3 linked regions of the Neodiprion lecontei genome follow. The protein of the gene in region 3 interacts with the protein of the main gene of each other region in a pairwise test. Links are inferred from orthologs where the notes say so. Each region holds a gene or a part of one and is shown on either strand. Other genes may lie near its edges. The genes, in order: F-box/WD repeat-containing protein 7, F-box only protein 11 and S-phase kinase-associated protein 1.

Region 1 (7,651 bases), on a different chromosome or scaffold from region 3:
ATACATAACAAATGATACAAAAATATACATATAACATAAATTGAAGGGTTTTGGGTCTGAAACTTACGCCAAAGAGCAGAATGCCTTTCCATGGGATACGTTTCCCAGTAAACAGATGTGGGAAACGAATGGGCAAGATAACAGCCTCTTTTAGAGCTTCCTTAGCAAGGTCCAACCCTGCGACATCACTCCACTTTACTTGTGGTTTCTCAATTACTATTGCCCCTTCCAATTTGCTTTGTAATTTCTTTTTTTCTGGATCGCTGTCACTGTCGCTATCCCCACTGTCACCCTTTTTATCATCGCTTTTAGAATTACTCTCTCCATCTTTGACCGGTTTCTTTTTTCCCTTCTTTAGATATTCCTTCAGCTTCTCAGCTCGGTCCAGGTATTGTAAACACTTTGTCCTAATGCTTTCCTTGGCCCGTTCTCCCTGAGCCTCATCTGAAAACAAGTTTGATTGGTGAAATGAAGCGAAGTTGAATGAAGTGAACATTGAATAAAGTGTTTGCATTTTGAAAACAAAGTCAACAAATATGTATTTGAGAAAACTTATTCATGCCACAGAAGTGAATTGGAAGAAGAATCGAGAGTCTGAGGCATGTAAATACTGATGATGTGTACATTTGATTGAATGAAGAAAGTATTCAACGCCGTGTTCATAGTGCTTCAGAGCCTCTTCATAGTTTTTGTTCCGATCTTCCTCGGTGGCCTTGGTAACCAGGTCTATGGCTTTCTGTATTTATACGGGTAGAAAACGAGAATAATTGGTCAATTGAAAATATCCAGGCTTAAAATTTGAGGAAACCTTCCCAATAGTTAGTACCTGTAATGTTGTTCCTGCTGCCATTTTATTGTGAAATGGCTCCTCCCTAACCTTAGCTCACCAGAGTGAAGTATGCGGAATTCAAGAAAGTCTTGAACTGATGATATTAATGCTGTTTTATACACGTGCAAAAAAAGCTCAGTTATCCATAAATAAATTATCGAACGCACGTTGCGTAAACTGCCTCGATCGCTCTCGATTGGAGAAGTTTGCTGTTCTGTCAAATTTTTAACCTTCAAAATTTAGGTCTCTGACGTCACTGACGGTGACTCCTACTCTACCATTACCATGACCCTACCACCGCTGCATCGGGACTATCAAGGCAAAAAAAACCTTGGGCGATCTCATTTGAACGCAGCTTTGGCGTCCTCTCACGGAGTTCCGGGTGAACTAGTCGTGTAGAGATGTGGAAATGAGCACTGATCTCGTGAGCCCCAAATCATAAACCGACACTAGCGCTACAATACCCGAAGTTAAACTAACGGGTCACCCGGGTGATAGTCTATCAGAAACAGATTTAGTCACATGGTCTTGTCACTTTAACCAATGACATACGCAATAAACCACGTGATTCGTTAGTTCCACTAAGGCTATTGAGGCGCTGGTATCGATTTCGTCTGCTTCTGATCGAATCAAAAGGGCCTAGGTCGCTAGTCACTAGTCAGCCATCCAGTTAGTACAGAGATCAGTGGAAACGCGGCTAGAGTGTGTTGAGAACGTGGTCTTTTAACCGAAGTAAACGCATGTGCAAAGGCATCGTGCGAAGCACGGAGTTCGAAGGGAACAACTTCGGTTCGTCGATGGATCCTACGCCGTGTTTATCAGCGTTTATTGTTTTTATTTGCAGAGTTTAGTGGTGGAATAATAATTGTGGGGAATAAATTTGCGAGATTATAACCTAACCGAGGTGTACCATACGAGAAATGCGTGCCGTGTGTAGTTGATAGAAAATTAATTACAACCCCGAACAAGTTGGGACGTCTCGCGCGAGGCGAGACACTGAATAAACCCGTACCGCTGAAGGAAGGCAGAGAAGTGGAAATCAGTCGACCATGTATGAACCTATTTGATTTTTTCCACACTTCTTTCACCGCCGTTTTGCATCTAGCCATTTTATCGAGTGGTAAATCGCTCCCTGCTTCCCAGGGTGTGGCAAACCGGCCCTTTGTTACATTTTCTCTTAAAGGCTATCTTCAAAATGGCAAGTTCTACTTGTGCTCTTTTTCAAGGTTAGGGTTTACCTCAATTGTAGTTCGAATTATCATCCGTGTATTTCATCCGTGTGATTTTTATCACACACCTCAATTCACCTCTCTTACCATTTTCACATATTTTCTTTAACCTCCATTAAAATCTAATTCAATTCATTAATACCTCCGACTGATTATTATTATGTATCAATTGCTTTCATTTCATTTCGAACCAATATCATGACCATACTTGTCGTCGATCACAGGTGTAGCATAAACAAGTTTCTTTTCATAACTGTGGCTCAAATTAGGAGCAATATTGCAAATTGGAAGCTTTTCATTTTTAATAGCAGTGATTTGGAGCTCTTAACTTTCATTTAATATTTACTCTATCTCAAAGAATTCTCTAGCGGCAGTGGCTGTGCAAAATTAGCTCGATATGTTATTTTAGTATGAAACATCTTTTTACCGTCCAAACATTACACAGCAAAAGATTAATATGACGACTGTTTGACCTAGAGAATCTCACTCCAATATAATGCTTTCAATTTTCTGGGCCTGTGATAACGCCAGAACTCAGTGATGTCTACCCCTTCGTCGTCGTCCAAGGCGTTAGGAGGAGAAAAACCAGGAGGTACAAGCCCTAGTCCCGTTGAAGGTGTTGAAGGTGTTCCAGGACCAAGTACACTAGATCCTCTGCAATCCGCACTTGTGCACGATGGGGAGTCTGAGGATTATGGAGAAGAAGGCGAGGAAGAAGAAGAGGATAGTATGGATGAAGAAAGCGAGGTAGATAAGAGAAGAGCATTGTAAATACAAAAGTATGTTGTCGTTACTCTGCTTATTTAAAACTTTCTTTTCATCAATGTTCAGACAAGTGATGGGGGCATGTATTGCGATGCCGAATGTGGAGAAGAGAATGATGCCAACGACTGCCATTCGTTATCGTTGCAATCATCGCCGACATTACCACCGAGACCTCTTAGTCCCATACTTCACACATGTGTTCCACTAGACGCAGTACAGCCTCAGAGGAAACGTAAAAGCGAAGCTGAGTCTACACTGCCCTGTAAAAAGCTTAACCCAGAGGAAAAGACTTATATTATGTGAGTAGTTTGAACTTGTTACATTTTTTGTTTTTTTGAAATTCAATATGGTACATACAATTGTTTAACAATGCCAATTTGCTTGCAACAGGGAGATATAATTGTGTTAGATCATTGTAAACTATTTTTAATTTTAACTAATTTTGTAGGGTTGTGAAACGGGTTGACGACAAAGGGAAGCATGTGAGAAGCATCATTCCGACCCGAGACAATCCCCCACCTGAAATGAGCAGTTGGTTATTACAGTTTCAGGTAAGTGGTGAAGACTGTGGAGTTTATGTTATTAATGACAATTGACCTTTGAGTAAAATAAATTGTTACAGAGATGGTCAAATGCAGAAAGGATGTTGGCTATTGATGAGCTAATAGAAAGATGCGAACCAACCCAAGTTCGGCATATGATGCAAGTCATCGAACCACAATTTCAGAGGGACTTTATTTCGTTACTCCCTAAAGAGTTGGCATTGTCAGTCTTAGCCTTCTTAGAACCAAGAGATTTATTGCGAGCCGCGCAAACATGCAGAAATTGGCGCTTTCTTGCAGATGACAATCTATTGTGGAAAGAAAAATGCCGAGCAACCGGGATAGAAGACCTTAAAGATCTACCTACGCCAAAACGTAAAAATAGTCGAAATTCAAATAGTTGCTCCTCGCCATGGAAGCAGGCGTATATGAGGCAGCATAACATAAAAATGAATTGGAGAACTAAACCGATTCGTACACCCAAAGTCTTAAAGGGTCACGACGATCATGTCATTACCTGTCTCCAGTTTTCTGGCAATCGAATTGTCAGTGGCTCAGACGACAATACCCTCAAAGTTTGGTCTGCTGTTACAGGAAAGGTAATTCAAATGTTTTAAACTCTATTTCCCGTACTTTGTAACAATTTTAAATTATTCTTTGTCAAGTACCTACTTTATAAAATACTGTATTCGGTAAAATTCATATGATTATTTTGTTAGACCCAAGTATTCTGTACGATTTTGTTATAAATTACAAAATTTTATGTTTGATATTGTATCACATCCTATCTAGTCCTATGTTGAATGTTGCGATATTACTTTGTTTAAAAATACTGGGATTTTTTCACATTCATTTCTATTGCACCATTTTTAAAGCATCTAAATAATGTTCATAGACGTACCCGCTATGAAATAAGAACATTGCTCCATATAAAACACGCAGAAGCAAGCACCCTCGATATAAAAATAAAACCACATCAATTTTATGTCAACAGTGTTTAAGAACACTGGTTGGGCATACGGGTGGTGTCTGGTCCTCACAGATGTCTGGTACTACAGTAATCAGTGGGAGCACAGACCGCACCTTAAAGGTTTGGAACGCAGAGACGGGCCAGTGCATACATACGCTTTACGGTCACACATCGACAGTAAGGTGTATGCACCTCCATGGCAACAAGGTGGTCAGTGGCAGCAGAGACGCTACACTAAGGGTGTGGCAAGTTGATACAGGGGAGTGTCTCCATGTTTTGGTCGGACATCTCGCAGCTGTTAGATGCGTGCAATATGATGGAAAACTCGTGGTCAGTGGGGCTTATGACTATATGGTCAAAGTATGGAATCCTGAACGAGAAGAGTGCCTTCACACACTGCAAGGACATACCAATCGCGTTTATTCCCTTCAAGTAAGAGCTTTTGGAAGAAATCATTGCAGTTTAACTTTATGTAATAGGTGTAATATTTAGTATTATTATCCGAAACAATTTAAAATGTTCTTAGCAAATAGCTGCTGCGGTATAATTACATCATTTAATAGTAATTGCTATTTCCTCTTGTCTCGTTTAGTTTGACGGTATCCATGTGGTGAGTGGATCGTTGGACACGAGCATTAGGGTATGGGAAGTTGAGACGGGAGCGTGTAGGCACACCCTGATGGGTCATCAGTCTCTTACTTCGGGCATGGAGCTCCGTAACAATATTCTTGTATCTGGTAATGCCGATTCTACAGTCAAAGTTTGGGATATTGTTAGTGGGCATTGTCTGCAAACTCTTTCCGGGCCAAACAAACATCAATCCGCAGTTACCTGTCTGCAGTTTAACAGTCACTTTGTGATTACATCCTCTGATGACGGGACTGTCAAACTGTGGGATGTTAAGACTGGTGGGTCTCATCTCTTTGCTCAAAGCAATGTCACAATATCAGAGCTACCGCATTGGAACCGAACTGTAAAATGATATTTGTTTTAAAACGTGATTTTAGGAGACTTCATAAGAAATCTTGTGGCTCTGGAGAGTGGGGGTAGTGGAGGTGTAGTTTGGAGAATTCGAGCAAGCGATACGAAGCTGGTGTGTGCCGTGGGCAGTCGTAATGGTACCGAGGAAACCAAACTGCTGGTTCTTGACTTTGACGTAGAGGCCAAATAGTCTTCCCGTCTTTGGGCGAGACGACGCCTCTATGTGACTTCTGTACATACTATAATTAGGTAGCATAACCAATCTACTGTACAATGTTCATGTATTACATGGTGTGATTGTGATAAGACTGCATGAAATTATTGTGAAGGGAGTTCTAAAATGAGCGTTAGGTTCTTCACAATGAATATTTGTTGATTGTGGGTCGTACGTACTGCAAAGTACAAATATAAAATTCAAATCTTACGGCAAATTGCGGAATATTAGGAGCTATCGAAGTTATTACGCAATTGTTGGACAATTCAGGATAAATCTTATCAACGGATTCATACTGTTCTGAAAGAATTCAATTATTGGCATGTACATATTATGTCCTAAGAGGAAGCAAGATCTTAAAGGTTTACTGCGCTAATCAGCTCAGTTTATAGAACAATTTACAGAATTACCCCGTGCTGAGAAATCGCTGTAATCAAAATTTCCATTCACACAGAGCTGAGCTGTGCCCCATTTATTTGAATTGAAATAAAGTTGATTTCGTTTCTTCTCACAACTCAATGTGAAACTTGTGCAACTCATCAAAACTTTAACGTAAAACCTAGTTTTTTTTGTTTTTTTTTATCGAATCATTGAAGAAATATCGTAAGGAATTAAAATTAGCGACTTTGTATGTACAAAGTTTGGCATTTTTTCTCTAGATTGACTTCTTCGCTCTTATCATATATATGATGGAACAAAACCACTTACTCGTTCGATAGTAATAAATGGGACACAGTGCACTTGACAAGTCCGCAAAAACTGCCCTGAGATCTAGTATGTCACGTTAACATACGTTAAGTTGAACTAAAGTACAACGAAAATAATGGCCAGAAATATTAAAAAACAGTACGAAAACATTCTAAAAAAAAAATTAAAGGTCTTTGCTATTCGCCGATTCACTTTTTCTTCACCGGGCAACCGCAGCAGCGCAAAATTTGTTACAATATATCAGTTTCAAATATACGAGACTTACCTGATGTTATCTGGGTATTTAGAATGCTATGCCGGGTTGAAAAGTCATATTTTATCGCACAAAATATATGTATATATATTTATGAAATATATATATATATTTTGTTCCCACGTATCATCCTCAGATAGGAATAGGTCGAGAATTGGTGCATATATACATATATACATACATACATATATATATATATATGTATGTATGTATGTATGTATGTATCAAAATTGAATCAATAACGCATATCTTCTGGACCTTGTGATCTTCAATGATAAGATTATAGCATGAGTACAACAAAATGCATGATTTGTGTGCTAGAATTTGACTTGGAATTAATAATGTGGACACTCAGAAAGCAAACATTTTTCAATCTATGCCAGTAAAGCAATAATTGTTGATTGATTTTTTTTTTTCCTCCTTTGTCTTTATAAATTCTGTTGAATTATTTTGAACGAAAGTGGAAACGAGTGAATGATTAGGGCATTATTATTTTCGAAAGAATTATAGATTTCGTTAATTTTATCAATTACTATTTATTGCTGTTAAATTAATTCGCATCGGGATCTAGGTATTGAATACGGCGATTGTTAATTTGAAAGAGAATATTCCTCTTGTGAATATCGCCTGGAAGAATAAAAAGAATTTTTTTTAATCTTGTAGAAATTTATTGTTTCATTTGTATTTACATTTGGAAAATGCCGTGCTAGAAATAATATTAGTATTTTACAATCAACGATGATCTCTTAAATGGATCAAATTGCACAGCAATACCTACGACTAACATACTATTTATCAAAGAAGATTTAAAAAAACCGTCGGGTTCTACAGGCATTTAGAATCTACCTTCTAGCCATCCCTAGATTATTATATTAAATCTTGTCACGTATCTTATGCGCATAAAATTGACTGATTAGTAATTCCTTGGCTGCTAAAAGTTCATAATTACCGTATTGAGTGAGACATGTTCATAACACGAATCGAACACGGCGTACACTCCAGCCTATACTTTATATTTAAGATGGATCCCAGCTAATTCAAAGTTACTTAAACAGAAAATAGAAAATAAAATTCGGATTCAACGGAATCTATGAAGGATCTGTAATGCTTTTGTTGAACATGTGATCGTCCGTTACGGAAGATTACGTGCTTTACACACT
Region 2 (7,785 bases), on a different chromosome or scaffold from region 3:
CAAAAAAATGTGTTGAAAATTGAAACATTATAAGGTAACAAATTATTTCAACTGTGCGATGAAATACAAAACTTACACTAGCATTTCTAGTTCAAATGATGTACCGAAATACTCACTGCATAACTTAAGAGCATCTTGAAATTTTACACCCGCCCTGATCATTTCAATAACGTGATGAAAATGTGCAACGCCAAAGAACAATGGGCATATGAAAATAGCGGTAGTAGGTTTATAACACTCTAGAAGTAGCGGAAGCATACAGGCTCTGAAAGTCCATTCCTCGGATAAAGGAGCGACAATTCGGTTCCGCCACCATATGAGCGATCTAATATTTTTTGTAGAGTGCATGGGTGCTGCAAAGGTGAAATTGAAAACAAAGTTGAATCAATTGTTCGTTAACATATGAAAATTTTATATTTAGCGTTCCCAAACTCACCGGCGTATAATTTCCATGGCCCATTCAGTGCCTGGACACTCAGTGGCCCCAAGAACAATATCATGGTTAAAAGGAGCGGTAAAACAGCCGCTTGAAATAAACCGACCAATTTTATGCCCAGCAGTTCCCAAATGGTAGTCTGAAGTTGGTTTAATTATTTACATGTGATGTTGCTCAAAAACAGTGCCAATGAAACGAAATAACGTACCTTTTGTAACATGGATCTGCTTATTCCAAAGTATACGAATAACGGGGACACAAACATCATGATAAAGGCGCTGAGAAATCTTTTTTTAATCGTCTCATTATGCTCTCTGTAAAAAATAGATTATAGTTCATCTCCATTTCCTCTATAGTTCCTCCCCATAAGTTTGAGATCAATTTTTCAGCGCGCGTCGGGAAATCGAAGTTCGAATTATCGGGAAGAAACGCGGAGCGCCGATGCGACAATGTGGGAGGGGGGGAGTTTTTCGTCGATTTCTTTGACTCTTGTTGAATGAAAATTAAACAACAGTGTGCGATGTGTAGAGGCTTCCGGGGGAGGGGGGAGGCTGGCTGGCTTTCCAAGGGCTAGTGGGTGCAACCTGATTTGGACGAGTTTAGCAGTACGCGCGTCGATTCCCGCATTCGTACCGTGTGCGTGTCGCGTGCGTGCTGCGATTATGACGATTGAACGACGCGGAGTGTCGTTAAAAGTAAAACGAATGTTGTAGGGGAACGAGTAAATGAAAGTCGACGCGACAAAAGCCAAGCGAGGCTTTCATCGGCCATGAAAATTTACTCATAGTTGATCGTGAAAATTTGTGCACCGACAGACGAGTTAGACGGGGGCCCGAGCAAGAATCCGGCGGCTCTCTGGGGCACGAAACAGTTATACATTTTCTTCGTGGTCCGTTGTTAAAGGGCTAGTTCTATGTATGTACATACATCGTGCGGCTGAGGCGCGAGGGCGTAACGATGATATACGCAGCTACGGGTAGGCTCGCGAATTAATTTTACCTATGGTACGGCGAATTCCATATGTAGAGACTGGCTACGTAGACGACAGATAACGTGAAACATGACAAAATCGCGGTGGTGCGAGAAAAATCTGTATTTTCCTCGGTCTCCACCATACTGACGTTCGTTGAATCACGTGACACGCTATAGCGGATAAAATCGTGTCCGATTGGCAGTCGCGCAGTAGTCGTCCGTGTAGTGAGAAGATGGCCGCCGTGCTCGATGGATGTGTCGCCATTGTTTAGTGTATAGTTTTTCCCCGTTTTTCTTATAAAATAATCGGGATACACCTAACTTCAAGATGCCGAGCGCGTCATTCACATCGTCACGTAGCTACGTCCGCAGATCCCGGAGGAAAGGCGCCAACAGAATCCCGTTACCCTCTAGAACAACATCGGGTATGTAATAGAACGGGGCTATAGGCGGCTGCTGCTACTGCTGCTCCTCGTAAGGTTCGCGGCTTAGCTCGCTCGGCTCGTCGTTCAGCTTGCGTTTCGCTCCGACTCCTTTCCTGCCTACTCAACTAACATCGATTCTCCTCTTTCCTATTCTCATCGTCTATTCTCATTGTACGATCTATTATTAAATATTATCCAATGTCATTTCTCCGATTACCAACGAGTTCGTACAATATCCGATTTGCATGGACATTTGTCACACTATGTACCTACTTACATGCATACGATCATACTACTACTAAATCGGCATTCCCTCCCTAATCTCGATTACAACGAGCAGAAAAATTAATATACTACATATGCAGCAAAGCATATTATGCGTATCTACATACATACGTGTGTATCGATGTAACGTGAAAGAGCAACAAAGAGAAAAGCTCCCCAAAAATGTCGATTATCATCATCCACACCCAGAGGTGTACCCGACGTAACTATATTTATTTGACGTCTATTCCATTTATACCAAGCTACTTTACCCTTCTGGAGTGTCATATAAATATTCACGGTGCATGGATTATTCGATTTTCCTAACTGGAATTTCAGAATCGTGTAATCCGGCATTTTTAAATGCCAATCATGTCACGTGAAATCGATCACAATTAATATTAATTTGCCATACAAAAACTATACAATTATGAAACAATAAGAAAACGCTGCTTCTGTCTTAATTCTAGGTAGCGTGTGTCTGCAACGAAAAACGTCTGTATGCTAATGAATTTTTTAGCATATGCTGTAGTTACAGCAGATGTGCCACAGAATTCAATTTCATTTATGTTAAATTTCCACTATCTATACATTGTGCCACTACAGCTTTGGACAGTGGATTGAAATATATTTCAATGTATAAAAATAACCTTTCCATTGCGTTATTCCTTGATGTAAGAGATTTACACTTCCCATTGTTGCTGCTGTGTTTTTTATCTGCGCTGCTCTAAGAACAACGTTCTACGTGTGTGTGTGTTTTTTTTTTTCCCCATACATAACTTATGGTTATCTCATCTTATTCACTGAGGACTATGAATTAAATAAGAAAATTCATTTGCCTTGTAGGGACAAGATTAACTTCAAATCTCTATATTGAAAAATTCTATCATCGTGGATACGTGTTCTACAATCGCCAGAGACGCCGTCAATATTCAAGAAGCCTGATCGGTGCTTCCTAAGTTATAAAATTTATAATATTTATGAAACTGATTTACCTATTGAAATGATTCGATCTAATTTTGTATGATGATCAAAATAGTGATGGTTTTTTTTTATGAAAGTTCAATTATCGAATAAATCGGTGCAAAACTTATCGCATTAGAGCCAAGTCGTGTGCTCATACAAGAACAAGCAAGACGAGATGGAGAGACCAGTTCTTTTCTTTAAATATTTATTTTATAAATATTTGAAATCCATAGCTGCATCAATATCCTTCAAATATTAAGATTTAAAAATTTCATGCTCACTTTCTCAGCCGAACCATGCGAGCTACCGTGTCCAGCTTCAAATCCAATTCCTTCAGGAGGCGGGGGTGTAGGAGGAGGCAGAGGATCTTCGCCTAGTGTTTCGGGGATAGCCGCCCCTTCTCCGTCTCATTCGCACTCGTCACCCTACGATCTTCGCCGTAAGAGTCCCCCGCATCCGGATCCTGCACCTGGCACGAGTTCAGCACTACCACCTCCCGGAGGAAGCAGTATCGCCGCTGCTCTTGGAACCTCATCTTTACCAGCCAGAAAGCGACCTAGGAGAACGTGCTCACTTTCAACCGATGGTAGGCAATGAATTGTTCTTCTTTTCTTCAAATAAAGATTACAAATCTTTTCTTTTACTCGCCATCGATGTAAAACTGTATTGCATTATATTGCTGAGCAGGAGTTTAGCAATTGTCACACTGAACCTGGCTGCTAGCTTCAGCTTCATTAGCAAACTTTCAACTTAATCCGATTATACATGTATTCTCTTTTTCAACTCTGTGTTAACACTGAGGTTACTTAATCGCTTTTACCTTATTTCAAACTAAACATAAATTGAAGGGGTAATGTTTAAATGATCACTAGAGGAAAATTGAAAATCAATTCGTACTTTTTCATTATATTTCTAAAAATATTCATTTATTTATTTCACTCTGCGGTAGGCACAAATACAAACACAGCTGCACACTACCTACAGTACGAGTTGCCGGATGAGGTGCTGCTGACGATATTCAACTACTTAATGGAACAAGATTTGTGCCGTGTCTCGCAAGTGTGTAAACGTTTTCAAGCGATTGCGAATGACACGGAATTGTGGAAGTCGTTGTATCAGCAAGTTTACGAGTATGATTTGCCACTGTTTAATCCGGCACCTTGTAAATTCGAATTTATCTCGCCGGACGAATCGGATTATTCGAACCCCTGGAAAGAAAGTTTTCGACAGTTGTACAGAGGAGTGCACGTCAGGCCTGGTTTTCAGGATCTTAAATTCAAGGGTAGAAATCTCCCATATTTCAACACTGTACAAGGGGCTTTAGACTTTGTTGAAGAATATAGGAGTAGCAATGGATCGACGCCAAATGCGAACTCAACTACCAATGTTCAAGGTAACTGTTGCATCAATAATTCGCAAGGCACCGAGGAAACGCCCCTGCACCTAGTATTTTTACATGCCGGGACATACCGTGGTGAATTTCTCATCATTGACTGCGACGTAGCTTTGATAGGAGCTGCCGCAGGCAACGTCGCCGAGTCTGTTATTTTAGAAAGAGAATCAGAATCGACAGTCATGTTCGTTGAAGGTGCTAAACGCGCGTACGCAGGCCACCTCACTCTCAAATTCACACCTGATGTAACCAGCACTGTACAACATCATAAACATTACTGTTTGGAAGTAGGCGAAAATTGTAGTCCAACGGTCGATCACTGCATTATTCGTAGTTCGAGCGTCGGTAAGTTGTTCAGATTGACACGAAACTCTCCAACCTTGACACTATTGTCCCTCATTGATATTAATATATGAATTTTGATTAAACAGTTGGAGCAGCGGTCTGTGTGTCGGGTGTTGGGGCAAATCCTGTGGTGAAAAATTGCGACATATCTGACTGCGAAAACGTTGGCCTGTATGTAACGGACTATGCCCAAGGCACCTATGAGGACAACGAAATATCCCGAAATGCACTGGCGGGGATTTGGGTGAAAAACTACGCGAATCCGATTATGAGAAGAAATCACATCCACCACGGTAGAGATGTTGGGATATTTACGTTTGATAACGGCCTAGGATACTTTGAGGCGAATGATATTCATAATAATCGAATCGCTGGTTTTGAAGTCAAAGCGGGTGCTAATCCGACCGTTGTGCACTGCGAGATACATCATGGTCAAACGGGCGGCATATACGTTCATGAGAACGGTCTTGGACAATTCATCGACAACAAAATTCACTCGAACAATTTTGCTGGCGTTTGGATAACATCAAATTCTAATCCAACGATTCGTAGAAATGAAATATACAATGGTCATCAAGGTGGGGTTTACATATTTGGCGAAGGCCGTGGCCTTATAGAGCATAATAACATTTACGGCAATGCTCTCGCCGGGATACAAATCCGGACGAACTCAGATCCGATTGTCCGACACAACAAAATTCACCATGGACAACATGGTGGTATATATGTTCATGAAAAAGGTCAAGGTTTGATCGAGGAAAACGAAGTTTACGCCAATACGTTGGCCGGGGTTTGGATAACGACGGGATCAACTCCAGTTTTAAGAAGGAATCGAATCCACAGTGGCAAACAGGTCGGAGTTTATTTCTATGACAATGGTCATGGGAAATTGGAAGACAATGATATTTTCAATCATTTGTATTCTGGAGTACAGATTAGGTATGATTTGAGACTGAGAATTTCGTTATTTATGCTACGTATAACAAATTATTGACAAAGATTCTTCCTTTCAGGACTGGGAGCAATCCTGTCATTAGAGGGAACAAAATATGGGGTGGACAAAACGGTGGAGTCCTCGTGTACAATAGCGGTCTAGGCCTTTTAGAACAGAATGAAATTTTCGACAATGCCATGGCAGGTGTTTGGATTAAAACTGACAGTAATCCAACGTTAAAAAGGAATAAAATATTCGATGGAAGAGATGGCGGAATTTGTATATTCAATGGGGGAAAAGGTTTGTACCCTGAACTCATTTGTATGTGTACTTTCGGAATTAAGCCTCACTGTTTTAACTTTGTCCAAATAACAGGTATACTCGAAGAGAACGACATATTCCGAAATGCGCAGGCTGGAGTTCTAATTTCAACCCAATCGCATCCAGTCCTTAGGAGAAATCGTATTTTTGATGGATTAGCCGCAGGAGTCGAGATAACGAACAACGCGACCGCCACATTGGAGTTCAATCAGATCTTCAACAACCGATTTGGAGGTCTTTGTCTCGCCAGCGGAGTTCAGCCAACAACTAGAGGTAAAGGTCGAGCCGATTCCATACTTTTTTTCCTTATGGTTTGCAAAGATTATGCACTGCCAGTTAATCTCCTCGATAATCGTAATTCTTACATTACGTTTTATGCCCTGTAGGTAATAAGATATTCAACAATCAAGACGCAGTGGAGAAAGCTGTCGGTAATGGCCAATGTCTTTACAAAATTTCATCGTACACGTCGTTCCCGATGCATGACTTTTACCGTTGTCAAACGTGCAATACGACAGATCGTAATGCTATCTGTGTAAATTGTATAAAAACCTGTCACGCTGGCCACGACGTAGAATTCATCCGGCACGATAGGTGAGTAGTATTATTTTATTTGAAAACCCCCGAAATCATGGCTCCATTTCAGGCGATTCTCCCGAGCGTCTCACCAACGAATACATTCCACATTCTCAGTACCAAAAATTCTTGTGCACAGATTTTTTTGCGACTGTGGAGCTGGAACCTTGAGTAACCAGTGTCAGCTGCAGGGTGAGCCGACGCAGGACACCGATACTTTATATGATAGTGCTGCACCCATGGAGTCACACACGCTCATGGTCAACTAGATGTAGCTAAAATGAACCAACTGGTCCCAAATCCGTAAGTTAGATGGATCCGTTGAGATAAACGTGCAGTAATAACAATAGTAATCTGTTGTCGAGTTCTTTGATATCATTATTATTATTATTAAACTCATGAAAATCCCAATATCGACAGAGTTATTGGCAAACTGAATAATTAAAGCTTTACCAAATTCCAAATGACATACCCAACTATTGGAAAGACCGTGCGATTCCTACTATTTTACTAATTATTTCTTGTTAAATTTCACTGAACACTTATTTTCATCTTCACATGAATTTTACCATTTTTAATGTTTTTATTTATTTACAATAGATTATACGCGTACGCGTATTTAATTCCAATAACTTTGTTATATCGTATGTCTAAATACAGCATTGTATTCTTTCAACCAAAAGTTGTGCATTATCAATGGTATTGAGACACATTAAGAGAAGAACAGCTACCAAAACCAAGAGCTCCTCTCAGTTGTTGCTTCTCTTGATAGTCGAATAAAATATTTGTATATAAGCATAATTTGAATACAAGTAGAGATTTATTGGTATATACAAGAACATTGAAATTTACATTGTCGTTAACACGCAACGAATGGTTGTTGGTTATATGATGCTAAAATTTTCTAAATTTTACATAAACGTTTCAAAATATAATAACGATGATGAAGAACTCTGTCGCAGTCAGTTTTGTATCCATAAAAATAAAATACCTAATTGCACAATGAGAAAAATATCGAGTTTGAAAACTGAAAACTGAACTGATACACATGACGCAGCCTGAGGTAGCTAATTCCTTCTAAACATAATGAAAAACGATAAGTGAATGCAAAAGAAGGGAAACTGAAACAAAAGAACAACAGAAAACATAACTC
Region 3 (4,356 bases):
AGATGTTAGTGCCAGAGTTTGACTCGGTCAATATTGATCTAGGAATATTACTCACGTGTGTATAATTTTCAGTTGCAGGAATTTGCTTCAATTAACGAAATTAATACATTATCGGAATGATTGATTGAATTGGACACCGCTGAGAGCAATTCTAACAATGAATTACATGATCTTACGAAGTCACACAAATTGTTGAAATAAAAAATTGGAGAGCTACAAAATCGACGAAAGTTAAATATTTTTTGTGACAACATAGAGTAAAGAATAGGATAAACAGAGAAAGTCTGAGTGTTTTGACCTGAATCTTTCTTTGAATGGTATACATGGAGAGAAAAATTTTATCTAGAGTCTATCGCAACGTGAGACTTTTTTCGGAAAGAGTCGCGAGATTTTAAACAAACATCATTTGAAATATTCGATTCCAGAAGTTTCTGTCAGAAATGTTTTCACGTAAAAACATGTCGCAATTTCTACACTTTCATCGTTTATGATTCCAACTTTAACGGAAGCATAAACTGAATAACTTCATTAAATCGCCAATAACAATTGAAGATATCCCAATAAACCAAAATGAATTGAATAGAATTGAGTAAGTCCGAAAACCGAATTAACTCGATTTGAAGCGAATTGAAAATACTTACATATGTGCGAATTCTTTTGAATTTGTTTTAATTTCTTTTTTCCAATTCATGCCAATTCTGTTTTTGCAGTACTCAATTCGATTTGATTTACTGTGATATCTAATTGCAGGTTTTGCTATCTTCAAACCTAGCTTTTCGTTAATATTGGCACAATAATTTCGTCGCAAGTATAACGTAATGCACGAGTTAAAAATTATTATACAGCTACAGTCGCTGGACAGATATTTCTCTTAAGACTTATTTAATGCGTTTCATTGGGAAGAGCTTCTGGTCCCGTTATAAAGTTGAAGAGGGCGAAGAGCAGCACTTATTTTAACTTATTGTTCGTACTCATTCAGTTGGAGCAATCATGATTAGCTGCTCTACCCTTTTCTAGCTCGACTAACAGACTCAATCAAGAAAGCTTTGTTTTAATTTCATTAATACGCTTCAGTTAGTTTATACTAGACGCGACCAAAATACTTGAATCGTTGATTCTCTCTACGATTCTAGCCCAGTAAACGATCCTTCGCGCTCTTTACACAGACCACGGCGGAAAAATTCCGACAATGGCGATCCGTTCTGGGTCAGCGATTCAATCGGGCTTATTTAGCGTTTTATTACACAGAATAATGCAAAAATTAACGACGTCAGTTCTCTAGGATGGTTATAAAGTTCAAATGCAACGTGCAAGTTTTGTATTTTCTGACATATTGGGACACGGTCATTTTCTTAATTCAAATTTGAATGGAAAAGTCGAATTACGGAAAGTTTATGCTACTTAATAGGATAGAAAGGCTGCAAGTGACTGTTGCGGACTAGGGACTTTTATATAAGCCTAGTTGGTAAATTTGAGACACAGGAGTGAGAAGCGACGCTCATAATTATATATAACCCACTCAATAAATACTTATTCTAAAATACTAAACTATGTGTTATCACTAATATACGGCAGTACCCGCACTTGAAAATTTGAAAAAAACAGATAAAAGCTGTTTTTTCTTCGCTCCATAGTTATTTTGTTTGTGGAATTCAAGCAAAAAAATGTGAGACTTACAGCCATTTTAAATTTCCTTTTCAATTTACTGCTCTTCCAAAATTTTCCGCAATACGTAAACGCAATTCATAGCGCCCTACGCCAGTCGGCTGTTTTCAGCATATTAATTCTTCAAAAATAACAAATTTAAAATCAAATCTCAGTAAAGTATGAGTTTTATTTTCCAAATTGTAAATACTCAACATGAAACACGATGTTTGATCGCTCCAACAACGCTCAGTTTGAAGTGTTCCAATTTTGAAAATTTAAGCACGGTCCTGACTGCCGACAGCGCCATCTATGAGCCGTTGCGCCTGCGTGTTGCTGACTGAAGTTTGTCGTCGATGATCAGAGAGAGATCGCAGGGTGAGCAGAAAGCGAAAAAGAGGGAGGTAGAAACTAAAGACTAGAGAGTGTACTAGAGAGCCTGGCAACGTTACGCTGTGATTCATTATCGGTTTCACACAACGGAGAATTGGAAGTAACTTGAAAGGTAATTCGATAATTTATTTACGGAGCTTCTTGCCTCGGTCAAAACGTTTGTAACAAAACATTCGCTGGGCATTGTTTATCGCCTTGAAGTTGGAAAAGTCGTTGCACGGGAAATCGGCTAATGGACGAATATTCGTTGCCCGCGCATGTTGTTATGATTTATAATTATTCGTCGATTTTCAACACCAGACATGAGCTGCTTTGCATTAAACCCTCCAGGAACGTGTCTTCTCCGCATATTATGACCGGATACGCCCGCCACTAACGTGCCGTCGAATTTTATTGGGTTTATAACCCTTATCCAAAACCTTGGGTCAACGGCGAACCTCATTCTCGCAAGGTTGTTGCCGTGCGCGCCAATATCTTATCCCTGTGGTCGACACTCGCTACCTGACGTTTCCTGCTCGACGTTCTCATCCGTAAAAATTTTACTCGCTGCGGAGAAAGACCGAATATTCTTTTTCGAAATTACACGAAATCAAACGCGTCATTGTCCATGCAGCATTTTTCGTATTCACTTCGTGCGTCGGAATTTTCATAACGTTGTATGACTCAGATTTACAAGTTATAAAAATAAACATACCCTCATACTTTTCGCGGAAATCGATTTTATTTTTCAGTTTTTTTCTACATCAAAAATCTCTGTAATGCTATGCGTAAGCATTTTTCAGTTCAATGCGTTGAAAGAAAATGTTTACGTCCATGTCCCAAACTCAATTCACTCTGTGGTAAACGGACTGAATGACATTGAAATGTAGTTTATACACAGATCGATAACATGGACTAGGAGTTGTTCAAAGACAAAGAAACTTGTACACATAACAATAATAATAGAAGAAGGTCGATTCTTGTACCTGAAATATTGACGTAACTGAACTTATGTTTGTCTTGTTTTTAATCACAGATGCCGAACATAAAGCTGCAGAGTTCGGATGGCGAAGTATTCGACGTGGATGTTGAAATTGCGAAATGTTCAGTCACGATAAAAACCATGCTGGAGGACTTGGGAATGGATGAAGATGAAGATGAAATTGTTCCCCTACCAAATGTTAACTCTGCTATCCTGAGAAAGGTCATTCAATGGGCTACGTATCACAAAGATGATCCACCACCACCTGAAGATGATGAAAACAAGGAGAAGCGAACTGACGACATCAGCTCTTGGGATGCTGATTTTTTGAAGGTCAATTTTGCATTCAATCAAAATGCTAATATTATAATTAATAAGAGACACATTCCTTTCATTTGAAAATTTTCTTTGACAATTTTTCACTCTTAAACATCTTTGAAACGTAGTCTGTGCAAGATTCATTATAGTTTTAACGACAGCTACTAATTTGCTTCGTTTTATTTATTTACAGGTTGATCAAGGAACCTTATTCGAACTGATTTTGGCAGCAAATTACTTGGACATCAAAGGACTTCTAGATGTAACGTGCAAGACTGTGGCAAACATGATAAAGGGAAAAACACCAGAAGAAATCCGTAAGACGTTCAATATAAAGAACGATTTTACAGCTTCAGAAGAGGAGCAGGTTCGCAAGGAGAATGAATGGTGCGAAGAGAAGTAGAAAGAATCCGAGGAGGGACGAAAGAAATGCTTTCTAAATCATCTGTAACTGTAGGTTTATCGCGTGTTAAATCTGAAGATGTCTTTCGCAAACTCAAATTTCAAGCTTGTCGCAACAGAAAAACTCACCCTCTGAAAAATTTAGCAATAATGGAATATTCCTGTTCCAGCCGAGTTTCTCCATTTGCGTACAATATCCCTAATTCGAAATTAGAAATACCAGCAACAATTGCTTGGAGAAATAAATTTTTGCAGCTGATATGAATATTTTCTAGGTATGCTGGCTACGTTAATAGAAAGATTTACATTCTGGATACAATTTCTTTCGGTCTGTTTTCACTCTCTAATGGAAAACATGATTTTTCGGTTTAACGATCCATACCACGAAAGTATTAATTTAACAATAGCACGATTAATTTCTGTGTATAATTAACCAAGTATAACTTCAGTCTATTTAAATATCAATATCTTCGAAATCTGTTATATCTGCATCTCATCTGTGAAGCTTTGATCTTCTTCCTTTAGTCCAATCTCTTGTGAATACGTGTATCGAATCATTTGATAAAATATGTGATTAACAATGTGACTGAACTTCGAAATAATAATAAATTAGCTATCTTTTTGTTCGGAATGTAAAA

What was found.
Region 1: the proteins of S-phase kinase-associated protein 1 (region 3) and F-box/WD repeat-containing protein 7 interact in binary tests that used the Caenorhabditis elegans proteins (3 or more experiments, as listed by UniProt). The link is inferred for Neodiprion lecontei from reciprocal best matches to the Caenorhabditis elegans genes skr-1 and sel-10.
Region 2: the proteins of S-phase kinase-associated protein 1 (region 3) and F-box only protein 11 interact in binary tests that used the Caenorhabditis elegans proteins (3 or more experiments, as listed by UniProt). The link is inferred for Neodiprion lecontei from reciprocal best matches to the Caenorhabditis elegans genes skr-1 and dre-1.

The regions. Positions count from the first base shown.
Region 1 is NC_060261.1:2,648,217-2,655,867, reverse strand, and holds the start of F-box/WD repeat-containing protein 7, read left to right. Parts: upstream 1-1,565; 5' UTR 1,566-1,880; intron 1,881-2,535; 5' UTR 2,536-2,598; coding exon 2,599-2,805; intron 2,806-2,889; coding exon 2,890-3,122; intron 3,123-3,271; coding exon 3,272-3,374; intron 3,375-3,445; coding exon 3,446-3,964; intron 3,965-4,359; coding exon 4,360-4,767; intron 4,768-4,927; coding exon 4,928-5,243; intron 5,244-5,342; coding exon 5,343-5,506; 3' UTR 5,507-7,651. Other genes in the region: vacuolar protein sorting-associated protein 4, read right to left, coding at 68-444, 625-736, 827-850. UniProt on the Caenorhabditis elegans protein: Probable substrate recognition component of SCF (SKP1-CUL-F-box protein) E3 ubiquitin-protein ligase complex, which mediates the ubiquitination and subsequent proteasomal degradation of target proteins.
Region 2 is NC_060263.1:333,381-341,165, reverse strand, and holds the start of F-box only protein 11, read left to right. Parts: upstream 1-1,730; 5' UTR 1,731-1,736; coding exon 1,737-1,833; intron 1,834-2,943; coding exon 2,944-3,045; intron 3,046-3,352; coding exon 3,353-3,649; intron 3,650-4,012; coding exon 4,013-4,801; intron 4,802-4,887; coding exon 4,888-5,740; intron 5,741-5,814; coding exon 5,815-6,035; intron 6,036-6,110; coding exon 6,111-6,329; intron 6,330-6,442; coding exon 6,443-6,650; intron 6,651-6,771; coding exon 6,772-6,901; 3' UTR 6,902-6,935; exon of another isoform or gene 6,936-7,785. Other genes in the region: CAAX prenyl protease 2, read right to left, coding at 117-353, 437-575, 645-750, 1,436-1,551. UniProt on the Caenorhabditis elegans protein: Substrate recognition component of a SCF (SKP1-CUL1-F-box protein) E3 ubiquitin-protein ligase complex which mediates the ubiquitination and subsequent proteasomal degradation of target proteins including blmp-1.
Region 3 is NC_060265.1:8,168,516-8,172,871, forward strand, and holds S-phase kinase-associated protein 1, read left to right. Parts: upstream 1-1,999; 5' UTR 2,000-2,149; intron 2,150-3,052; coding exon 3,053-3,331; intron 3,332-3,509; coding exon 3,510-3,719; 3' UTR 3,720-3,738; downstream 3,739-4,356. UniProt on the Caenorhabditis elegans protein: Probable essential component of SCF (SKP1-CUL1-F-box protein) E3 ubiquitin-protein ligase complexes, which mediate the ubiquitination and subsequent proteasomal degradation of target proteins.